Linked DNA regions of Anolis sagrei. The protein of the gene in region 1 purifies or fractionates together with the protein of each later gene. This does not show direct contact. Links are inferred from orthologs where the notes say so. Each region holds a gene or a part of one and is shown on either strand. Other genes may lie near its edges.

What was found. Proteins that work in one complex are often made in the same cells at the same time.
Region 2: the proteins of EIF4G1 (region 1) and EIF3G purify together in Homo sapiens (affinity purification with mass spectrometry; 3 studies listed by BioGRID, with this or other methods). This does not show direct contact. The link is inferred for Anolis sagrei from reciprocal best matches to the Homo sapiens genes EIF4G1 and EIF3G.

What each region holds. Positions count from the first base shown.
Region 1 is NC_090023.1:262,548,159-262,558,757, reverse strand, and holds the start of EIF4G1 (eukaryotic translation initiation factor 4 gamma 1), read left to right. Parts: upstream 1-6,090; 5' UTR 6,091-6,201; intron 6,202-10,599.
Region 2 is NC_090022.1:172,116,140-172,126,876, forward strand, and holds the start of EIF3G (eukaryotic translation initiation factor 3 subunit G), read left to right. Parts: upstream 1-6,729; 5' UTR 6,730-6,872; coding exon 6,873-6,892; intron 6,893-10,737. Other genes in the region: DNMT1 (DNA (cytosine-5)-methyltransferase 1), read left to right, coding at 158-248, 2,250-2,287. UniProt on the Homo sapiens protein: RNA-binding component of the eukaryotic translation initiation factor 3 (eIF-3) complex, which is required for several steps in the initiation of protein synthesis.

The sequences.
Region 1 (10,599 bases):
TCTCAAGTTGCTTCTGACATGGAAAAAAATAATCATTGATGCATATAATCTTCTCCAAGATTAAATGCACCAATGCACCAATGCAAATGCATGTAATCTAAAATTTGTAATAATCTGAAATCCAAAGCATTTCCGGCCCAAACATTTCGGATGAGAGATATTCAACCTGCATCTGAACATAAACAAAGGCTTTTTTCACACTTGAGTTAATGTGTGCTGTGAGGAAAGAACCGTGACTCGAACCATTCTGAATCCAGGGCTGCTGAGAGTGGGTTTGGGTGCCTATAGAAACATATTTTTTGCCAGTGCAAGCTCAAAAGATGCAGTTTGGAAAAGCGTTATGGTAAGATTCAAGTCAGAAACATGGCAGAGAAAGCAATTAATTTAGACAAAAGTTATTTGGGGAAGCTTTTTTGGTTTGAAGGATCATGGAAAAATTCAAAACAAATACAAATTTTGCTTCCCACCATCAAATGAAAGAGAAACGAACCCAGTTGGAATTGTGAATACTCCTACAGTGTCTTTGTATGTCTCATCCACTTTTTTCCAGGCCATTTGCATTACATGTAAGTAGGTGAACTTCCAGCCAACCTAGAACAAAAAGCCATCCAATTGCATTTGCTGGAATAGGTGAGTATGCCTTTCAAAACCGCCCTTGGGAGAATAAGTTGTGTATGTTATGGTAATTTAGGACCCAAGACAATAGTGTTGTCAAAATAGACATGATGACAGATTTTGAATAAAGGGTGACAGAATTATAGCAGTATGACAGCACTTTAACTGCCACAGCTCATTTGTCATAGAATTGTTGGATTTGTAAGTTTGTTGTTGCAACAGATCTCTTTGGCTGAGAAGAGTAATGGTCTCACAAAACTAAAAATTCCAAGAGTTTACATCTTTGAGCTCTTGTTAACCCAATAGGCAGGCTACAATGGCTTCAAACTACAAGAAAGGAGATTCCATCTGAACATGAGGAAGAACTTCCTGACTGTGAGAGCTGTTCAGCAGTGGAACTCTCTGCCCCAGAGTGTGGTGGAGGCTCCTTCTTTGGAAGCTTTTAAACAGAGGCTGGATGGCCATCTGTCAGGAGTGATTTGAATGCAATATTCCTGCTTCTTGGCAGAATGGGGTTGGACTGGATGGCCCATGAGGTCTCTTCCAACTCTTTGATTCTACTCTTTACTAAAGAACAAGAATTCATAATAATATATCTAGTACTGCAAATGGAAAATTTAAAAGCAAGGGAGAGTACTCTTCATTTCCCAAGACTGTTATGTCAGCACCCTGATTAAGGTGACCATGCATTCAACGAAACAACCCCCAAAACCCTCAGGCAAAACAGCTAAACAGGAATGCATTAAAAAAACAACTCTCTTTCCTGAGGTCTGAACATAAACAAAGACTTTTTTTCACACTTGAGTTAATCAACTCATCCATTCAAGAAAGTCTGTGTTGGATGATTAATGTTTCCTGTTAAGGTAATGACCCTTGGACTTTCTATCTGATTTTTCCTGTGACAGTCTTGCACTCATTCTAGCCCATCCCTATCTCTATATGCATCTGATAAAGCCGATTGCCATAACAATTGGGGAGGAAGGCAAAGGGACAAAGACTGATGGAGAGGGAGAAAAGAAGAGAAAATGGATAGAGAATGTTATCAGAGGTGTTCATGGCTGGAATCACTTGGTCGCTATGCGTTTTCTGGGCTGTAAGGCCATGTTCCAAAAGCTTTCTCTTCTGATGTTTTGTCCACATCTATGGCAGGCATCTTCCAAGGCTGTGATGTCTGTTGGAAACTAGGCAAGTGAGGTTTATATATCTGAGGAATGTCCAGAATGGGAGAAAAAACTTGTCTAGTATGAATGTTGCAATTGGCCACCTTGATTAGCATTTTATGGCCTTGCAGCTTCAAACCCTGGCTGCTTACTGCCTGGGGGAATCATTTGTCGGGAGATGTTAGTTGGCCCTGATTATTTCTTCTCTGGAATTCCCATTTTTTTTAGTGTTGTTCTTTATTTACTGTCCTGATTTTAGAGTTTTATAAATACTGGTAGCGAGATTTTGTTCATTTTCATGGTTTCCTTTCTGTTGAAATTGCCCACATGCTTGTGGATGTCAATGGCTTCTCTGTATAGCCTGACATGGTGGTTGTTAGAGTGGTCCAGCATTTCTGTGTTCTCAAATAATATGGGGTGTCCAGGCTGGTTCATCAGTTGCTCTGCTATGGCTGACTTCTCTGGTTGAATAAGTTGCAGTGCCTTTCATGTTCCTTGATTCATGTTTTATTATTAACTTTATTTATACCCCGCTAACATCTCCCAAAGGACTCGGTGCGGCTTACAAAAGGCCAAGGCCCTCAATAAAACAACAGCATAACAAATACAACAATAAAACTCATACAGCAAAACAATAAACATTAAAGCAATAACAATAAACATTAGAACAATAACACCAATAACATTGTTTGGGCAATGCTGCTGCATTTGGTGGTCCCTATGTAGACTTGTCCACAGCTGCATGGAATACGGTAGACTCCTGCAGAGGTGAGAGGATCCCTCTTGTCCTTTGCTGAACGTAGCATTTGTTGGATTTTCTTAGTGGGCCTGTAGATAGGAAGCCATGAGAGTAAAGACAAAAATCCACCCAGAGGAAACGTGTTCTTACCAGACAACAAGGGAACCACTGACCGCATAGGGAAGCTGATGAAGAAACACAACCTTCAAACTATCTACAGACCCACTAAGAAAATAATATGCTGTGTCCAGGTTGGTTCATCAAGTGCTCTGCTATGGCTGACTTTCTCTTATAAAGTGTTTGAAAGTGAATAAATTGGTTATGAGGAATCGGGAGGAAATACAGAAAAACTTTGTCAATGACTGGGAACCTTTTTTGAACAGTGTGGGAGGTGGGATGGAAAAGTTCTTAGAGCAAGCTTCCATGACTGAAAAAGCTTGGGAGCAACTGCTCTATATAACTGTTCAAGCGTGCCCAGTAAGGGATTCTGGAAGCGAATTCTGTTTGTACTGCCTATTGTGGGCATACACACACAGCAAGAAACCCTTTAAAATGTTTATTTCCATGGAACCCAACTATATCTTTAATTGTTTTAAAGCAAAATATCAGTTAACATTAACAGCCTTAAATATGCAGATGATATCACTTTGATGGTCGAAAGCGAGGAGGAGCTGAAGAGCCTTCTAATCAAGGTGAAAGAAGAAAGTGCAAAAGCTGGGTTGCACTTAAACATAAAAAATAACAAGATTATGGCAACCAGACGGATTGATAACTGGCAAACAGAGGGAGAAAACAATAAAAAGCAGCAAGTATAAGATATTTTGAGTCAATTTGGCCTTTCTTTCTCCTTTTCCTCCTCAACCGCATGTCACTCCAGGTACCTCTGGGTGGGTTTTCTCGAATTCACCTTTCTCTTTCCATCCTTATTTGTATAAATTTTATTATAGTTTAATTTTTCCTAATCTAATCTCTGTAACTATTTATTTATCACTTAAATATTTGTAGTCATTTTTTTCTCTCCCTCATTTTTTTACTAATTTTTATTTTTTGGCTGTATAATGTATCTATTACACACACACACACACACACACAATTTTCTTGCAGTGTAATTTTTTACCTAAACTTTAACATTTTTAATGTAAAAATATAAATAAACATTTTCTTGCAGTGTAATTTATTTAAACTAACAATTTTATGTATTTATTGCAGTGAATTTTTAACTACTTTAAATTTTAATGTAAATAATTATTTTTCTTGAAATGTATTTTTATCTAAACTACAATTCTTAATTTTCTTGCAGTGTAATCATTTATCTAATCTTTAAAATTCTTCTCTCTCTCTATATATATATATATTTCAGTGTAATTTATATAAACTTTAAAATTCTAAATGTATATATATAATTTTCTTGCAACTTTAAAATGTGGTCTCGCAATGTATTTATCTACATTTTAAGCTGTGTAATTTTTATCTAATATTTAAATTTCATAATGTATATATTTTATTTCCTGAAATTCACTTTTTTCTTATTTGATCTCTGACATAAATATTCTTGCAAAGTAGTTTTTGCCCTAATCTTTGAAATTTATTTGATTTCCTTGCAATGTATTTTTTAAATCTAAACTACTATTTAATCTTCAAACTACTATTTAATCTTTAAATATTCTCATATATTATTGCAGTGCAATTTTATCTAATCTTTAAAATTCTTAATGTATATATAATTTTCTTGCAGTGTAAATTTGGTATAAATTTTAAAATTCTTATTCTCACAATGTATTTATCTAAATTTTAAACTGTGTAATTTTTTCTATTCTTTAAAATTCTTTATATATATAATTTTCTTTCAGTGTAATAGTTTATCTAATATTTAAAATTCATAATGTATTTATTTTATTTCCTGCAATGCACTTTATCTGATCTCTGAAATTCTTTCTCTCTCTATATATGTAAAGTAGTTTTTGACCTAATCTCTGAAATTCTTAATATGCAAAGTAGTTTTCGATCTACTCTATAAAATTCTTAATATATATATTCTTGTAGTTTTTGACCTAATCTCTGAAATCTCTGAAATTCTTTATATATATATATATATATATATATATATTCTTGCAAAATAGTTTTTGACCTACTCTCTGAAATTCTTAATATATATATTCTTGCAAAGTAGTTTTTGACCTAATCTGATTTATATATATATATATATAGATAGATTTGTAGTTTTTGACCTAATATTTGAAATTCTTAATATATATATTCTTGCAAAGTAGTTTTTGACCTATTTTCTGAAATTCTCAATATGCAAAGTAGTTTTCGATCTACTCTATAAAATTCTTAATATATATATTCTTGTAGTTTTTGACCTAATCTCTGAAATTCTTTATATATATATATATATATATATATGTTCTTGCAAAATAGTTTTTGACCTACTCTCTGAAATTCTTAATATATATATTCTTGCAAAGTAGTTTTTGACCTAATCTGATTTATATATATATATATATATATATAGATTTGTAGTTTTTGACCTAATATTTGAAATTCTTAATATATATATTCTTGCAAAGTAGTTTTTGACCTATTTTCTGAAATTCTCTCTCTCTATATATATATTCAAAATAGTTTTTGACCTAATCTCTGAAATTCTTTATATACATATTCTTGCAAATTAGTTTGTGACCTAATCTCCGAAATTCTAAATATATATATATTCTTGCAAAGTAGTTTTTGACCTAATATCCGAAATCCTAAATATATATATTCTTGCAAAATAGTTTTTGACCTAATCTCTGAAATTCTTTATATATATATATATATTCTTTCAAGGTAGTTTTGGACCTAATCTCAGAATTTTTTATATATATCTATATATATATAAATTTGGAAAGTAGTTTTTGACTTCATCTGAAATTCTTTATATATATACCTATATTCTTACAAAGTAGGTTTTGACCTAGTCTCTGAAATTCTTAATATATATATTATTGCAAAATAGTTTTTGACTTAATATCTGAAATTCTTTATATATATATATATTCTTGCAATGTAGTTTTTGACCTAATCTTTTAAATTCTTAAGATATATATATATTGCAAAGTAGTTTATGACCTAACCTCTGAAATTCTTAAAACGTATGTAATTATCTTTGATGGCCATGTCCTTTCCCTTGCCTAGACCTTTGTAATTCTAGATGTTTATACCAATTCAAAAAAGAGAGATATAGCTATTGAACTGAAAACAAAGACTCCAAAAGGGAGCAGCCTTTCTTCTCCTTCCTCCTCAAACACGTGTCACTCCGGCCATGATGGAAAGTAAGGCAAACAGGAACCGGAAGTCCCTCCAGGATCACGTGACGGGAGGAGGTGGGCGGGGCTTGTGGGGGAGACTTTGGCATACATCCGGGGATTGGCGAGGGAGGGGGGTCACGTGACGGGCCGGGCCGACCTTTTTCTCCCTGCGAGGCCAAAGCATGGCGAGGGTCACGTGACGAAGGGCGGCTCCTCTTTTTCTCCCCCCCCTCCCCTCCTCCCAATCCTGGGATGCCACTTCCTGTTTCTGCAGGCCGGCTTCAGCGCCAGGCCCCGCCCCTTCCTTTTCCCCTTTCCCTCCCTTTCGGAGCGAGCGGCTCCGGAAATGGTGGCTACGTCGGGCCCCGCTCCGTCGGGCTGAAGGAGGAGACGCCAGGTAAGCCGGGGGCCCTCTCCTCGACCCAACCCGGCCGGAGGGGGAGGAGGGAGAAGGAGCCGGCGGGCAGGCCGCGCTAGGCCTCGCCTCACCACCACCGCCACGTGCAGGAGAGAGGCAGGCCCGACTAGGCCTCGCGCCCTCCTCGCCCGCCTCTTCCTCCCCCAAACCGGGTGGGGCGCGGCCTTCCTCACCACATCCAACCACCCAGCGCCCCAATAGTTCCTGAGCATATGCAGAAGGCGCTGGGGTTCCCCTTCATCCATCACTACAGCTCCCCACTGGTTCCTGAGCATAGGCAGAAAGCACCTGGATGTCTCAGACCTCATCCAGTTCATGCCACGTTAGTATCTGAGCCCATGATGGTCTCGCCCCAATAGTTCCTGAGCATATACAGAAGGGTTTTGAGTTCCTAGTCCTCAATCAATCCGGTGACCCATTAATTTCTGATGTGCAAATTGTGTTGGGATTCATAGTCACCTATCAGTCCTAGTTTCTGAAGGTAGGCAAAAGGCACTTTAGGTTCTTGTGGGTTTTTTTGGGCTATACAGCCATGTTCTAGAGGCATTCTCTCCTGACGTTTCGCCTGCATCTATGGCAAGCATCCTCAGAGGTAGTGAGGTCTGTTGGAATTAGGACAGTGGGTTTATATACAGACCTCACTACCTCTGAGGATGCTTGCCATAGATGCAGGCGAAACGTCAGGAGAAATGCCTCTAGAACATGGCTCTATAGCCCAAAAAAACCCACAAGAACCTAGTGATTCCAGCCATGAAAGTCTTCGACAATAAAAAGGCACTTTGTTTCATAGTCCCGGTAGTTTCTGAACATTCACAGAATGCATTTGGGGTCACAGTTAATTATCCACTCAGCTCCCCACTGGTTCCTGTGCATAGGATTGGTTATACACGGACGATGAATTTTGGATTACGATTCCAGTTATGAGATGCATAGGATTGTTATTGGTGGCCCAATAATTTGTACTGTATATGTGTTTTATGCTTTTAACTGAATATTGTTTTTTAAATGTTGTAAACCGCAATGAGTCGCCGATTTAGGCTGAGATATTAGCGGTATACAAGTGCATTAATAAATAAATAAATAATAAATATAGAGAAAGCACTATGGTTTCGCATGCTTTATCTAGTTTGTGCCACATTACTATTTGAGCCCCTGATGAAGGCTTTGGGGTTCACCTCGCCCCAATAGTTCCTGAGCATATACAGAAGGCTTTTGAGTTCCCAATCATCTATCAATCCGGCGTCCCATTAATTTCTGAGCATGTGCAAATTGCATTGGGATTCACAGTCACTTATCAGTCCTGATTTCTGAAGGTAGGCAAAAGGCACTTCGTTTCATAGCCCTGGTAGTTTCTGAACATTCACAGAAGGCATTTGGGGTCACAGTTAATTTTCCATCCAGGGCTTCACTAGTTTCTGAGCATATGCAGAAAGCTTTCGAGTTCATAATAATTATTCATCCAGTGTTTCATTAATTTCTGAGCATACACAAATGGCATTTGGATTCATTTATCAGCCCAGCACCCCACTATGCTAGTTTCTGAGCATATGCAGAAGGCACTCACTTCTAGACATGAAAACAGTATTTCAAACCATAGCCATTCATTCTCTCCCCCCTCCCCCTGTAATTTCTGAGCATATGCAGAAGGTACTGGGATTTGTTGCCACCCATCAGTCCAAGTTACATTGGTTTCTGAGCATATGCAGAAGGCACTATGGTTTCTCATGCTTTATACAGTTCGTGCCACATTACTATTTGAGCCCCTGATGAAGGCCTTGGGGTTCACCTTGCCCCACTAGTTCCTGAGCATATACAGAAGGCTTTTGAGTTCTTAATCATGTATCAATCTGGTGTCCCATTAATTTATGAGCATGTGCAAATAGCATTGGGATCCATAGTCACATATCAGTCCTACTTTCTGAAGGTAGGCAAAAGGCACCTCGTTTCATAGCCCTAGTAGTTTCTGAACATACACAGAAGGCATTTGAGGTCACAGTTAATTATCCATCCAGGGCATCACTAGTTTCTGAGCATATGTAGAAGGCTTTTGAGTCCATAATCTGGTGTCCTGTTGATTCCTGAGAATGTGCAGATCGTATGTGGATTCATTGCCACTTGTCAGTCCTTCATACTTATTATTAAATCAGGTCCTTGTCCTTTGTTCCCCTTCAATCCGCTGCCCTACTCGTTTATGAAGGTAGGCCAAAGGCACTTTGATTAATAGCCACCCATATAGCTCCCCAGCATTGGATTCATAGCCCCGGTTGTCTCTGAACAAACACAGGAGGCATTTGGGATCACAATTAATTACCCCGCCTGGCCTCACTAGTTTCTGAGCATATGCAGAAGGCATTTGAGGTCATAGATACATATCAGTATATCTCCCCACTAGTTTCTGAGCATATGCAAAAGGCTTTTGGGTTCATGGTAAGCAATTAACCCAGTGCTCCATTAGTTTCTGAGTGTGTGGTAATAGCATTTGGATTCATAGTCACCTATCAGTACAGCTCAACTTTTTAATATGTAAATTCCAGGAAGATCAAGTTTTGTAACCCTTCTCCAATACTTTTTTCATATAAATAATCCTGTTGTTCATTCTCCTGTACATTTTATTGTAGATTATAGACCCACAGAACAAAATTCACCCCCAATTAACTAGTATAGTCCTCAAAATCCACAGATTCAGCTATCCAGAGCTTGAAAGTATTACATAAAGATCCAAAATACAAATGTTGGTTTTGCTATTTTATATGAGGCGCACCAGTTCACCAGGCCATTGTGCATAATGGGACTTGAGCACACATAGATTTTGGTATCCATAGGTGGGTGAGGGGTCCTAAAACAGATTTTTTTTTTGTATACCAAGGACATACTGCATTCATAAGGGCTGAGGCTCATATACAAACTTAATAATTGGAGTAATGATACATCTCTCCAATACACAGCACACTTTTTTCTGTTTTTCCTTATCTTGTTTATCCTATCTTAGGACTGAACTTTGCAAGCGAATATGCCCTTGTCATGGGGTTGCTTCTGAGTCTTATGTATTGTTTTCTTCTGGAAAATATCAGGAAGATTATGGAAACCTTTTCTGGCTTATGTAGGAAAGATCATTAACTTTAAAATGTATCCACTTTTTCCACAACGTGCACACTTTTACATACATATGTTTCCTCTTAACTTTACTTTCCCCCTCCATAGTCGGTTGCACTTTTTTCCAGCATCCTTTTAAGGCACAGTGAGCAAAACTGTACATAATACTTCAGTGTGGCCACACCATCTATTTGCATAAGAGCAATATTTTGAAATGCAAACATAGAGTTTTCTTTCAGATAGTACTTTTTTAAAGCAATCTCCAATTTGTTACTGTAGGTCCCCTCCCCTCAGTGTACATAAATGTACATAAATGCATACTTGTTTACATGGATCCAAATAAGCTTATTTTCCAGTCTGGGGGATTCTTTGGCAACCTTCTTCAATTTATTTTTCCACAATCCATTCCTCAATCTGGAAGATTCTTTGAGACTTCTGCAATCTATTTTTCTTCTAGCCATTTTAACTAGTTTGTTGTTGGCAGCAAAGTTAGCCACCTTATTGATTGGCCTTAGAAACAACCGATCATTTGTGAACAAGTTAGGAAGGACTGGACCAATACAAGTCTTTTAAGGGGATCACTGTTTGCACCCTTTCACTTTGAGAACTGAACATTTGTTCCTTGTGTTCTCTGTACTGTCTGCTTTTTAATGAGTCACCAATCTATAAGAGTCCAGTTACTGAATCCCTTAAGTGTTTAACTGTTGAAGAGGCCTGGCCATTTAAACTTAATCCCTCTTTCAATAATATCAATTGAGTCAAAATTCCAAATACACATTTTTAGCAGTCAAGTCCTGTGAATAACCTCTTCTCACTGCTTCCCATGGAGCAATGGTTGCGGTACATTTCTCATCTTGTTCAGCCATCCAGAGCTTGAAAGTATTACATAAAGATCCAAAATACAAATGTTGGTTTTGCTATTTTATATGAGGTGCACCATTTCACTAGGCCAATACAATACACAACGTGATCAAAGGCCCTTCTGTGTAACCTTCTCTTCTATAACTAGGGGACCTTCCACTCATCCCTATATCTCAGAATATCAAGGCAGACAATCCCACATTATTTGATTTGAACTGGAATATATGGCAGTGTGGACTCAGATAACCCAGTTCAAAGCAGAGATTGTGTGATATTCTGGGATATGGGGCTATGTGGTAGGGCCCTTTGTCTCTTCTTAACACAAGGCTCAAAAGTCCCCAACTTGTGTAAAAATGAATCAAGGTTTTGCACTCTTCAAGTCCTACAAAAATGATGAACAAATCCACACATTTATTTATTTAT
Region 2 (10,737 bases), on another chromosome or scaffold:
TGTTGAAGCTCAACAAACTTGACTTTAGAGATATATCAGGGCTCCACTATCATTAAGTAATAAATGAATGAGGAAGCTAGCTTGGCTTCTTTTGGGGGCCGTGTTCATCATTAGTGTTATTACAGATTCAACTTTTTCTTCTCCTTTGCTTTTGCAGGTGGGTAATGCAGTGCCTCCACCTCTGGCAAAAGCCATCGGACTAGAGATCAAATCATGTGTGTTGGCCAAAATCAAAGAGGATGCTACAGGTAGGTTTTATGGAGTACCGTCAAGAGGACTTGGGGGCTCTTTAGTTCGAAATGCCTGACAGACTACTTTTCTCTCACTACCATTGTGAATTGTGTAGCACTGTAGCATGTGTTCTTGGGGAATGTCACTTCCAAATAGCCCACTCAGGATTCTGTCCAAACATCTACCAGTATGGAAATACACTGGCCACTCTCTATTATTTCATTCCAGGATTTAAACCAGGAATAAAGAGTATGTGGCTCTCCATATGCTATTGAACTAAAGCTTCCATGGTTCATCACACCTTTCTTAACTTGTTTAAGGCTGGTGCAGTAAAATTGTCATTTGTAGATCCACCACCCTAGTTGCAAAGGGCACATGGAGCTCTGGATCAGTGGTTAGAAGGCAGGGTCATCAAGTTTGCAGACGACACCAAATTGGGAGGGATAGCCAATACTCCCGAAGACATGAGCAGGATTCAAAACGATCTTGACAGATTAGAGAGATGAATGGCCAAAACTAACAAAATGAAGTTCAACAGGGACAAATGCAAGATACTCCACTTAGGCAGAAAAAGCGAAATGCAAAGGTACAGAATGGGGGGTGCCTGGCTCGAGAGCAGTACGTGTGAAAAAGATCTTGGAATCCTTGTGGACAACAAATTAAACATGAGCCAACAATGTGATGTGGCGGCAAAAAAAGCCAATGGGATTTTGCCCTGCATCAATAGGAGCATAGTGTCCAGGGAAGTCATGCTACCCTTCTATTCTGCTTTGGTTAGACCACACCTGGAATATTGTGTCCAATTCTGGGCACCACAATTCAAGAGAGATATTGACAAGCTGGAATGTGTCCAGAGGAGGGCGATTAAAATGATCAAGGATCTGGAGAACAAGCCCTATGAGGAGCGGATTAAGGAGCTGAGCATGTTTAGCCTGAAAATGAGAAAGCTGAGAGGAGATATGATAGCCATGTATAAATATGTGAGAGGAAGTCACAGGGAGGAGGGAGCAAGCTTGTTTTTTGCTTCCCTGGAGACTAGAACACAGAACAATGGCTTCAAACTACAGGAAAGGAAATTCCATCTGAACATGAGGAAGAACTTCCTGACTGTGAGAGCCGTTCAGCAGTGGAACTCTCTGCCCTGGAGTGTGGTGGAGGCTCCTTCTTTGGAAGCTTTTAAACAGAGGCTGGATGGTCATGTCAGGGGTGATTTGAATGCAATATTCCTGCTTCTTGGCAGGGGGTTGGACTGGATGGCCCATGAGGTCTCTTCCAACTCTTTGATTCTATGATTCTGTGCTATTGAACTAAAGCTCCCATGATCCCTCGCACCTTTCTTAACTTGTTTAAGGCTGATGCAGTAAAATTCGTTGCAGTGAAATTGCCATTTGGAGATCTACCACCCCAGTTGCAAAGAGACATGGAGCTCTGGATCAGTGGTTCTCAACCTATGGGTCCCCTGGTGTCTTGGTCTACAACTCCCAGAAATCCCAGCCGGTTTGCCAACTGTTAGGATTTCTGGGAGTTGAAGGCCAAAACATCTGGGGACCCACAGGTTGAGAACCACTGCTCTAGGCAATAGTGGGTGCCCCACCTGTGGAGGAAGCATGTTGGGAGAAAGGCCTGCCTGTCCAACAACTCCAAATGGAAAAATACTGTTTTTTGTAGAGATGTCTATGTGCTTGTTGGACTTCTCCTCCCCATCCCTTTGGAACAGGGATGTGAGCTGGAGAAATGGTGGTGGTGATGATTTGTATCCTGTTTTTTCTCAAAAAAGAAGACTCAAAGCAGCTCACAATAAAAACCAATACAATATAATTTAAACCTACAAATATACAAACATTGAAATGGAATTGAACATGAACAGTATTAAAAATAAACAATTAAACCCCTCAAAATCAATTGAAACCTATTAATAGCACCCCCTGACTTGATGTTTAAAAAAATCCTTCTTTAAAAGCCTGCCTGAATAATACGCTCAGGGATTTATATTTCTGCTGTATCTTATTTTTCCGCAGATACCATCAAACGGGAAAAAATGGACACTTCCGATTAATTTGTAAATTGCTCGTCATCTGCTGCACCTTGGTTACCGCACCTGAACACCCAAACATGCACTGATAATTTTGAATTTTCTTCTGCTTTTTTAATTTCCAGGTTATTTTCTTATACTTCTGGACATGCTGAAAATTGTTGGAGGTCTCTCTTTGTTTTTGGGGACGGGAGGGGGAGGATTTTTGTGTGTTCTCTCTCTCTGTCTTGCTCTTTCTCAGAGTCTGTATTTGTGAGCGGTGTTTGTCTCCTCGGCTGACATTCTGACGCTGTTTTGATGTTCCAGATAACCATTCCCAAGTGATCAAATTGTGCAGTGCCTGCCACTTCATGCGTGTGCGTGTGTATGTGTGTCGGGGGGAGGGGGGGTTCAGGATGTTTTTATGATACATTGTATTGAAATTTAATCAACCACTTTGTACAAGTGGAAATTAATACTTTATGTAGTTTTTATATGTTGTAATATTTCTTCAAATAAATCTCTCCTATAAATTATCTCAAGGTCCCTTTCTGACTTCCTTCAGATGTCTGTCCCATCTCTGGGCTCTGGTTTGTGTTCATGTTGGTGCTGGGACCTAAGTACCACTTCAATTCCACTGACCAACACACATTTTGGTGCCTCAAATGTTAGCTCTGTTTCTGGGTATATTTGACCTGCTGATTCCAAAAATGATACCAGTTTTCCCCTATCAGCTCTAGTTTTTCAGATACAGAACATAGGCCATCTATCAATTGCCATCTGCCACCCATAAAGAATCATGATAATCTTAATATATAAAAAAGCTTCTGTGCGTCCTGAGTAGGCTAAACACAGACAAACTATGGGGCCAACTGACATCAATTTTGGCCTCCAAACGTCTCATACCGCAAGGTATGACCACAATTAAAAAAAATCCCCAAACAGTGAAAATAGCTTTAAAATTCTTTTAAAAATAAAAAATACCTTACCACGCATGTGCAAAACCTAGGCCTGCCCCCTCCTGTACAAGAAGGGGAAACAAACAGCCACAGTAGCAAAGCAGCTGGCTGTCCCTGCTTCAGGAGCCAAGCTGAGAAGCCAGAACAACCTGGCAAAGCTGCTCTGAAAAGCAGCCTTTAGAGCAGTGGTTCTCAACCTTCCTAATGCCGTGACCCCTTAAGACAGTCCCTCATGTTGTGGTGACCCCCAACCATAATATTGTTTTCGTTGCTACTTCATAACAGTCATTTTACTAATGTTATATATCATAATGTAAGTATCTGATATGCAGGGTGCATTTTCATTCACTGGGCACAAATACCCAATGCACCCAAATGTGAATGCTAGTGGGGTTGGGGGAGGATTGATTTTATAATTTGGGAGTTGTAGTTGCTGGGATTTATAGTTTACTTATAATCAAAGAGCATTCTAAACTCCACCAGCGATGGATTTGAACCAAACTTGACTCCCATGACCAACAGAAAACACTGGAAGGGTTTGATGGGCATTGACCTTGAGTTTGGGAGTTGTAGTTCACCTATATCCAGAGACACTGTGGACTCATGCCATGATGGATCTGGTCCAAACTTCGCATGATTACTCAATATGCCCAAATGTGAACACTGGTGGAGTCTGGGGAAAATAGATCTTGACATTTGGGAGTTGTAGTTGCTGGAATTTATAGTTCATTACAATCAAGGAATATTCTGAACTCCACCAACGATAGAATTGGCTCAAACTTCCCACATGGAATCCCCATGACCATCAGATAATACTGTGTTTTCTTATGGTCTTTGGCGACCCCTCAGGGGTCCCGACCCCCAGGTTGAGAAGCACTGCTTTAGAGCCTTCTCGGGGGGGGGGGGAGAGGGATGGACGGACGGAGGGACAGAAGAAGCGAAGAAGCAAGCAAGCCCCTTTTGCATTGGTCTGGCAAGGAAGGCGAGAGGGAAAGGGAACGGAGTGAGGGAGGGAGCAGGAGCTACACTAGGAGAAGGCTGCACAGGCCTCTTAAGAGACACAGGGTTCAGTAACAAATCTCATATTCAATTAAAGGAGGCATTTAACAAACACCGGGAACCCCCAGTGGCGCAGTGGTTTAAACCCCTGTGCTGGCAGAACTGAAGACCGATTGGTCGCAGGTTCAAATCTGGGGAGAGGCAGATGAGCTCCCTCTATCAGCTCCATGAGAGAAGCCTCCCACAAGGATGATAAAATCAAAAAATCATCCAGGTGTCCCTCTGGGCAATGTCCTTGCAGACGGCCAATTCTCTCACACCAGAAGCGACTTGCAGTTTCTCAAGTCGCTCCTGACACGACAAATAATAATAACAAAGACAAGAAAGGTGGATTCGAAGAAGGGGAAAAAATATGGGACAAGGTTTTGTCTTCGAACAATAAACTAATCTCCAAAATCCGCAAAATACTCTTAACTTGGTCGACCGAGAGAGAACAAATAAAAGAGTGCATGGTGAGGTGGGCACAAAACATCGGCCACAACATCCAAATAACAGAATGGGAAAACATGTTGTTGTTCATTCGTTCAGTCGTCTCCGACTCTTCGTGACCTCATGGACCAGCCCACGCCAGAGCTCCCTGTCGGCCGTTACCACCCCCAGCTCCCTCAAGGTCAGTCCAGTCACTTCAAGGATGCCATCCATCCATCTTGCCCTTGGTCGGCCCCTCTTCCTTTTGCCTTCCACTTTCCCCAGCATAATTGTCTTCTCTAGGCTTTCCTGTCTCCTCATGATGTGGCCAAAGTACTTCAACTTTGTCTCTAGTATCTTTCCCTCCAGTGAGCAGTCAGGCTTTATTTCCTGGAGGATGGACTGGTTGGATCTTCTCGCAGTCCAAGGCACTCTCAGAACTTTCCTCCAACACCACAGCTCAAAAGCATCGATCTTCCTTCGCTCAGCCTTCCCTAAGGTCCAGCTCTCACATCCGTAGGTGACTACAGGGAATACCATGGCTTTGACTAGGCGGATCTTTGTTGCCAGTCTGATTTCTCTACTCTTTACTATTTTATCGAGACTGGACATTGCTCTCCTCCCAAGAAGGAAGCGTCTTCTGATTTCCTGGCCACAGTCTGCATCTGCAGTAATCTTTGCACCTAGAAATACAAAGTCTGTCACAGCCTCCACGGTTTCTCCCTCTATTTTCCAGTTGTCAATCATTCTTGTTGCCATAATCTTGGTTTTTTTGACGTTTAGCTGCAACCCGGCTTTTGCGCTTTCTTCTTTCACCTTGATTAGAAGGCTCCTCAGCTCCTCCTCGCTTTCGGCCATCAGAGTGGTGTCATCTGCATATCTGAGGTTGTTAATGTTTCTTCCAGCAATTTTCACCCCGGCTTTGCATTCATCCAGCCCCGCACATCGCATGATGTGTTCTGCATACAAGTTAAAAAGGTTGGGTGAGAGGATGCAGCCTTGCCGTACGCCTTTCCCAATCTTGAACCAGTCTGTTGTTCCGTGGTCAGTTCTGACTGTTGCTACTTGGTCCTTGTACAGATTCCTCAGGGAAAACATATGGAACTCTAAAATAAAATATACAGACTCTCAGGACCTACGTGAAAATTGGTACACGATGATGTGCCGTTGGTACATAACACCAAGTAAACTTGCGAAATGTTAAAAGAATCCATCAGACAAATGCTGGAAATGCACTCACAAGTGGGATCCTTCTCTCACCTTTGGTGGACATGCAAAAAAGCAACTAGATTCTGAGCGTGGACTCAGATAACACAGTTCAAAGCAGATATTGTGGGATTTTCTGCCTTGATATTCTGGAATATAGGGCTGTGTGGAAGGGCCCCCAGCTGGGTTTGACAGTAGGACGCGGAACAATGGTTTCAAACTACAAGAAAGGAGATTCCATCTGAACATGAAGAAGAACTTCCTGATTGTGAGAGCCATTCAGCAGTGGAACTCTCTGCCCCGGAGTGTGGTGGAGGCTCCTTCTTTGGAGGCTTTTAAACAGAGGCTGGGTGGCCATCTGTGAGGGGTGCTTTGAATGCAACATTCCCGCTTCTTGGCAGGGGGTTGGACTGGATGGCCCATGAAGTCTTCCAACTCTTATAATTCCTGACTGTGAGCCGTTCAGCAGTGGAACTCTCTGCCCCGGAGTGTGGTGGAGGCTCCTTTTGAAGGCTTTTAAACAGAAGCTGGGTGGCCATCTGTGAGGGGTGCTTTGAATGCAACATTCCCGCTTCTTGGCAGGGGGTTGGACTGGATGGCCCATGAAGTCTCTTCCAACTCTAGAATTCTATCAAGGGATGCAATTCTTGAAGTGTCCACTGGGGGCGGCAATTCACCTCACTAATACAGGCGGCCTTGCAGCTTTTGGGCCTCCAACTTCCAGCATTCCTGGGCATTGAACAAGCTGGCGAGGGCTTCTGGGAATTGGAGGCCCAAAAGTTGGAGTGGAGCGACCCCTATCGCGTCTTCCCAGCAGGCACCGCGGCGAGCCGAAAGGCCTCCGCCATGCATTTTGGTTTGGCCACCACGTCAGTGACGCAAACTACGTCTCCCGTGAGGCTCTGCGTCACGCTTAGGCCGGCTTCCTGCCTCTCGTGAGGCCTAGTCTTCCTCTTCAGCTCGCCTTCCTGCTGCTTGCTCTTCTTCCAGGGGCGGCCATGCCGACGGGCGACTACGAGTGAGCAAATGGGGAAGGCGGGAAGCAGGCCTGGAGGAGGGAGGGAGGCCTTGGGGGAAAGGGGAAAGCGGCGGGCGGGCGGTCCGTGTACACGTGTTTGCGCGTCCAGACGTGCAGTGGCGGGTTTGTGATTCGGAGAGTCCCGAATTCTTTCCTCAACCGCTTCTCATGAGCCATTTTTTCCCAAACAAAGTCAACTTCATGTCTTTCAAACTCTTAAAGCTGGTTATAGACCAAAAGCTCAATTTGGTCAGCTCTGGACTTCTCCAGCTGAGTGTCAAGAGTTGGGCAGACACGTGACAGAAACCTAAGGCCTGGCCTCCTCAAACAGCGGCCTTCCAGCTGTTTGCACCTCCAACTCCTAAAATTCCTGGCCATTGAAGAAGCTGGCAAGGGCTTCTGGGCGTTGGAAGGCCCCAGTTTGAGGCTGCCTGCTCTGGGAAGCTTGGCATAGCTTTGTGTATCTTTTACTTTTTTTGTCGTGTCAGAGCAACCAGTCCATTATGTTACATTTCTAACCGAACAAAGCAAATAAACAGAAAAATACACAACTTGTGAGTTTCGTAGTTGGTTAAATGTCCTTTGACCAGTATCTGGCCACTTGGAGTGCTTCTGGTGTTGCCGCAAGTAGGTCCTCCATTGTGCATGTGGCAGGGCTCAGGTTGCATTGCAGCAAGTAGTCAGTGGTTTGCTCTTCTCCACACTCGCATGTCGTGGATTCCACTTTGTAGCCCCATTTCTTGAGGTTGGCTCTGCATCTCGTGGTGCCAGAGCGCAGTCTGTTCAGCGCCTTCCAAGTCACCCAGTCTTCTGTGTGCCCAGGAGGGAGTCTCTCATTTGGTATCAGCCATTGGTTGAGGTGCTGGGTTTGAGCCTGCCACTTTTGGACTCTCGCTTGCTGAGGTGTTCCAGCGAGTGTCTCTGTAGATCTTAGAAAACTATGCCTAGATTTAAGTCATTGGCGTGCTGGCTGATACCCAAACAGGGGATGAGCTGGAGATGTCTCTGCCTTGGTCCTTTCACTATTGGCTGCTACTTCCCGGCAGATGTCAGGTGGTGCAATACCGGCTAAGCAGTGTAATTTCTCCAGTGGTGTAGAGCGCAGACACCCTGAGATAATCCGGCATGTCTCATTAAGAGCCACATCCACTGTTTTAGTATGGTGAGATGTGTTCCACACTGGGCATGCATACTCAGCAGCAGAGTAGCATAGCATAAGGGCAGATGTCTTCACTGTATCTGGTTGTGGGACATGAGAGAAGCCTCCTCGCAGGATTGCAAGATATCCGGGCGTCCCCTGGGCAACGTCTTCGTAGACGGCTGATTCTCTCGCCACAGAAGCGACCAGCATGCAAGCAAGCAAGCATCTTTTACTTAAAATCCAACTTTAAAACGAAATGATTTAATTAATATTTCTTGATGAGTTTACCCTGCTACCTAGTATGATGTGTCTTCACGTATTCATGTAATACAGTATAATAATAATATTATTAATAATAATACAATATAATTTTTTTGTTGTATCAGGAGCGACTTGAGAAACTGCAAGTCGCTTCTGGTGTGAGAGAATTGGCCGTCTGCAAGGACGTTGCCCAGGGGACGCCTGTATGATTTGATGTTTTTATCCTTGTGGGAGGCTTCTCTCATGTCCCCGCATGAGGAGCTGGAGCTGATAGAGGGAGCTCATCCGCCTCTCCCCGGATTCGAACCTGCGACCTGTCGGTCTTCAGTCCTGCCGGCACAGGGGTTTAACCCACTGCGCCACTGGGGGCTCATACAATATACTAAAATCTAGTAATAATAATTGTAAAATCATAATAATAACCTTTATTTCTATCTCGCAGTGGTTCTCAACTTGAGGTCCCCAGATGTTTTAGCCTTCAACACCCAGAAATCCTAAATTTCTGAGAATTGTAGGCCAAAACACCTGGGGACCCACAGGTTGAGGATCACTGCTCTACAGTGTAGTTGCACTTCAAGTCTAGCACTGAAACCACTGCACCACACTGATTGTCTCCCTTACTTAATATTGGATGTGCAACTATGGCTCTCCAAATGTTTTTGGTCAGCTATTCCCATTATCCATCATTAGTGGCTTTGCTGGGTAGGTCTGATGGGCCTTTGAGGCCAAAGATATCTTTGTGCAACTTACCTGGAGGTCTATATTTGCTCACTTGTTCTAACATTATATAGTTAGATACTAAAACTTGGAGATGGGTATTAATTATGTAGACTGCATCTTTACTGAATCTCCATTAGACATGGAGTCACTTTGAAAGTGAGAGACACTGAACATGTGTTGAAAAGGTCTGGGTAACATGGAAATACATGATTTCATTAATGTATGGGGAGCAATTTCCGCATCTGGTATTATTGGACCACATCTGTTTAATGCAGTGGTTCCCAACTTTTTTTTGACCAGGGACCACTCTCCAGCATTATTACCAAAAGGGTTAGGAATCAGTTTTTGGTCAACTTTAGATTTGGTTTGTGGTGCTGATTCAGAAAATTGCATTGGGTAGACCACATCAGCTCTGCTTTCTGATACAGAACACATGCCATGGTCAGCAACAGGAAAGGAGTGGCAGGCAGTCTGAAAGGAGTAGAAGTAAAATAAATAAAAAATGAGATTTGTGGACCAGATTTTCGTCCTTGCAGCCTACTGGTGGTCCGTCACCCACAGGTTAAGAACCAGTGCTTTAATGGAATAGTAACAGGAGTGTTACCTGAAAATGTTGAGAATATATCCCCCAGTCATAAACACATCTAGCTCTCAAGGGACTTTTCCTTGTAAGCCAGTGGTTCCCAACTTTTAGCCTCCAGGCATTTTAGACTTCAACTCCCAGAACTCCCAGCAACTTACCAGCTTTTAGGAATTGTGAGAATTAAAGTCCAAAACATCCGGAAGACCAAAGGTTGAGAACCACTGCTGTAATCACGCATATGCTAGACAGGTAATACAGAGGCTGTGTTAGATGTGGCTGAGAAAGTAGTTGGTTGAATTGGAAGGACACGTGACAGCAGGAAGAACATGGCTGTGTTCTTGCTGGACAGTGGCCAATGTTTCAGCGTTATGCACTCCATCTTGATAAAATGTCTCTTTAAAACATGCAGGTTAGGCTCCCAACCACAAAGCTTCAAACTTAGTCTGTTTTCTGTTACTTTTCTGTGGGTCTATTCAGTTATATGAGCGGAAGTGTCCTCTTTGGAAATGCCTTTAGAAATCCAGTTTTAGTGCTTCAGTGAGAACAAGATAAAGTTATTGAGGATCTGAACAGGAAAGGTAAAAGAAGATCTGGAGCAGTTAATGAAGTGATTGGAATTCAAGATTAATTCCAACAATTAGCAGTCTAGGACTGAATGAGTGAGTCTACAAGGTTTGTTTGTTTTTTCAAAGAGGGGTGAGTGAGTGAGCTTTGGAAACAATAAATAAGAAAAACAAAAAAATTAAGTAAGGTATGTGGTGTATAAATCTGGATGGTAATGTAAATCTTCAATGGCAAAATACCTGCATTTTTACCTGAAACATGAGGTAGGTGGCTAGAACCCTCAAAGAGTTGGAAGAGACCTCATGGGCCATCCAGTCCAACCCCTTGCCAAGAAGCAGGAATATTGCATTCAAACCAACCTGTGTGTTGACCAGCTGGCAAGTGGGCGTCTTCCTTTGGAAGTGGACATGACAAGATAAAGAACAGTGGTTGCTGCCCAAAGGTTTTTTATTAATATTTGAATGGAAAAATAGCTGGAATAAATTAGATGCTGGAGATAGTAGTTTCTTGTACAAACTAATTAGGTGTGTACTAAATGAAGAGTTGTCTAACTTGTACATCCAGATGTATGTTCTT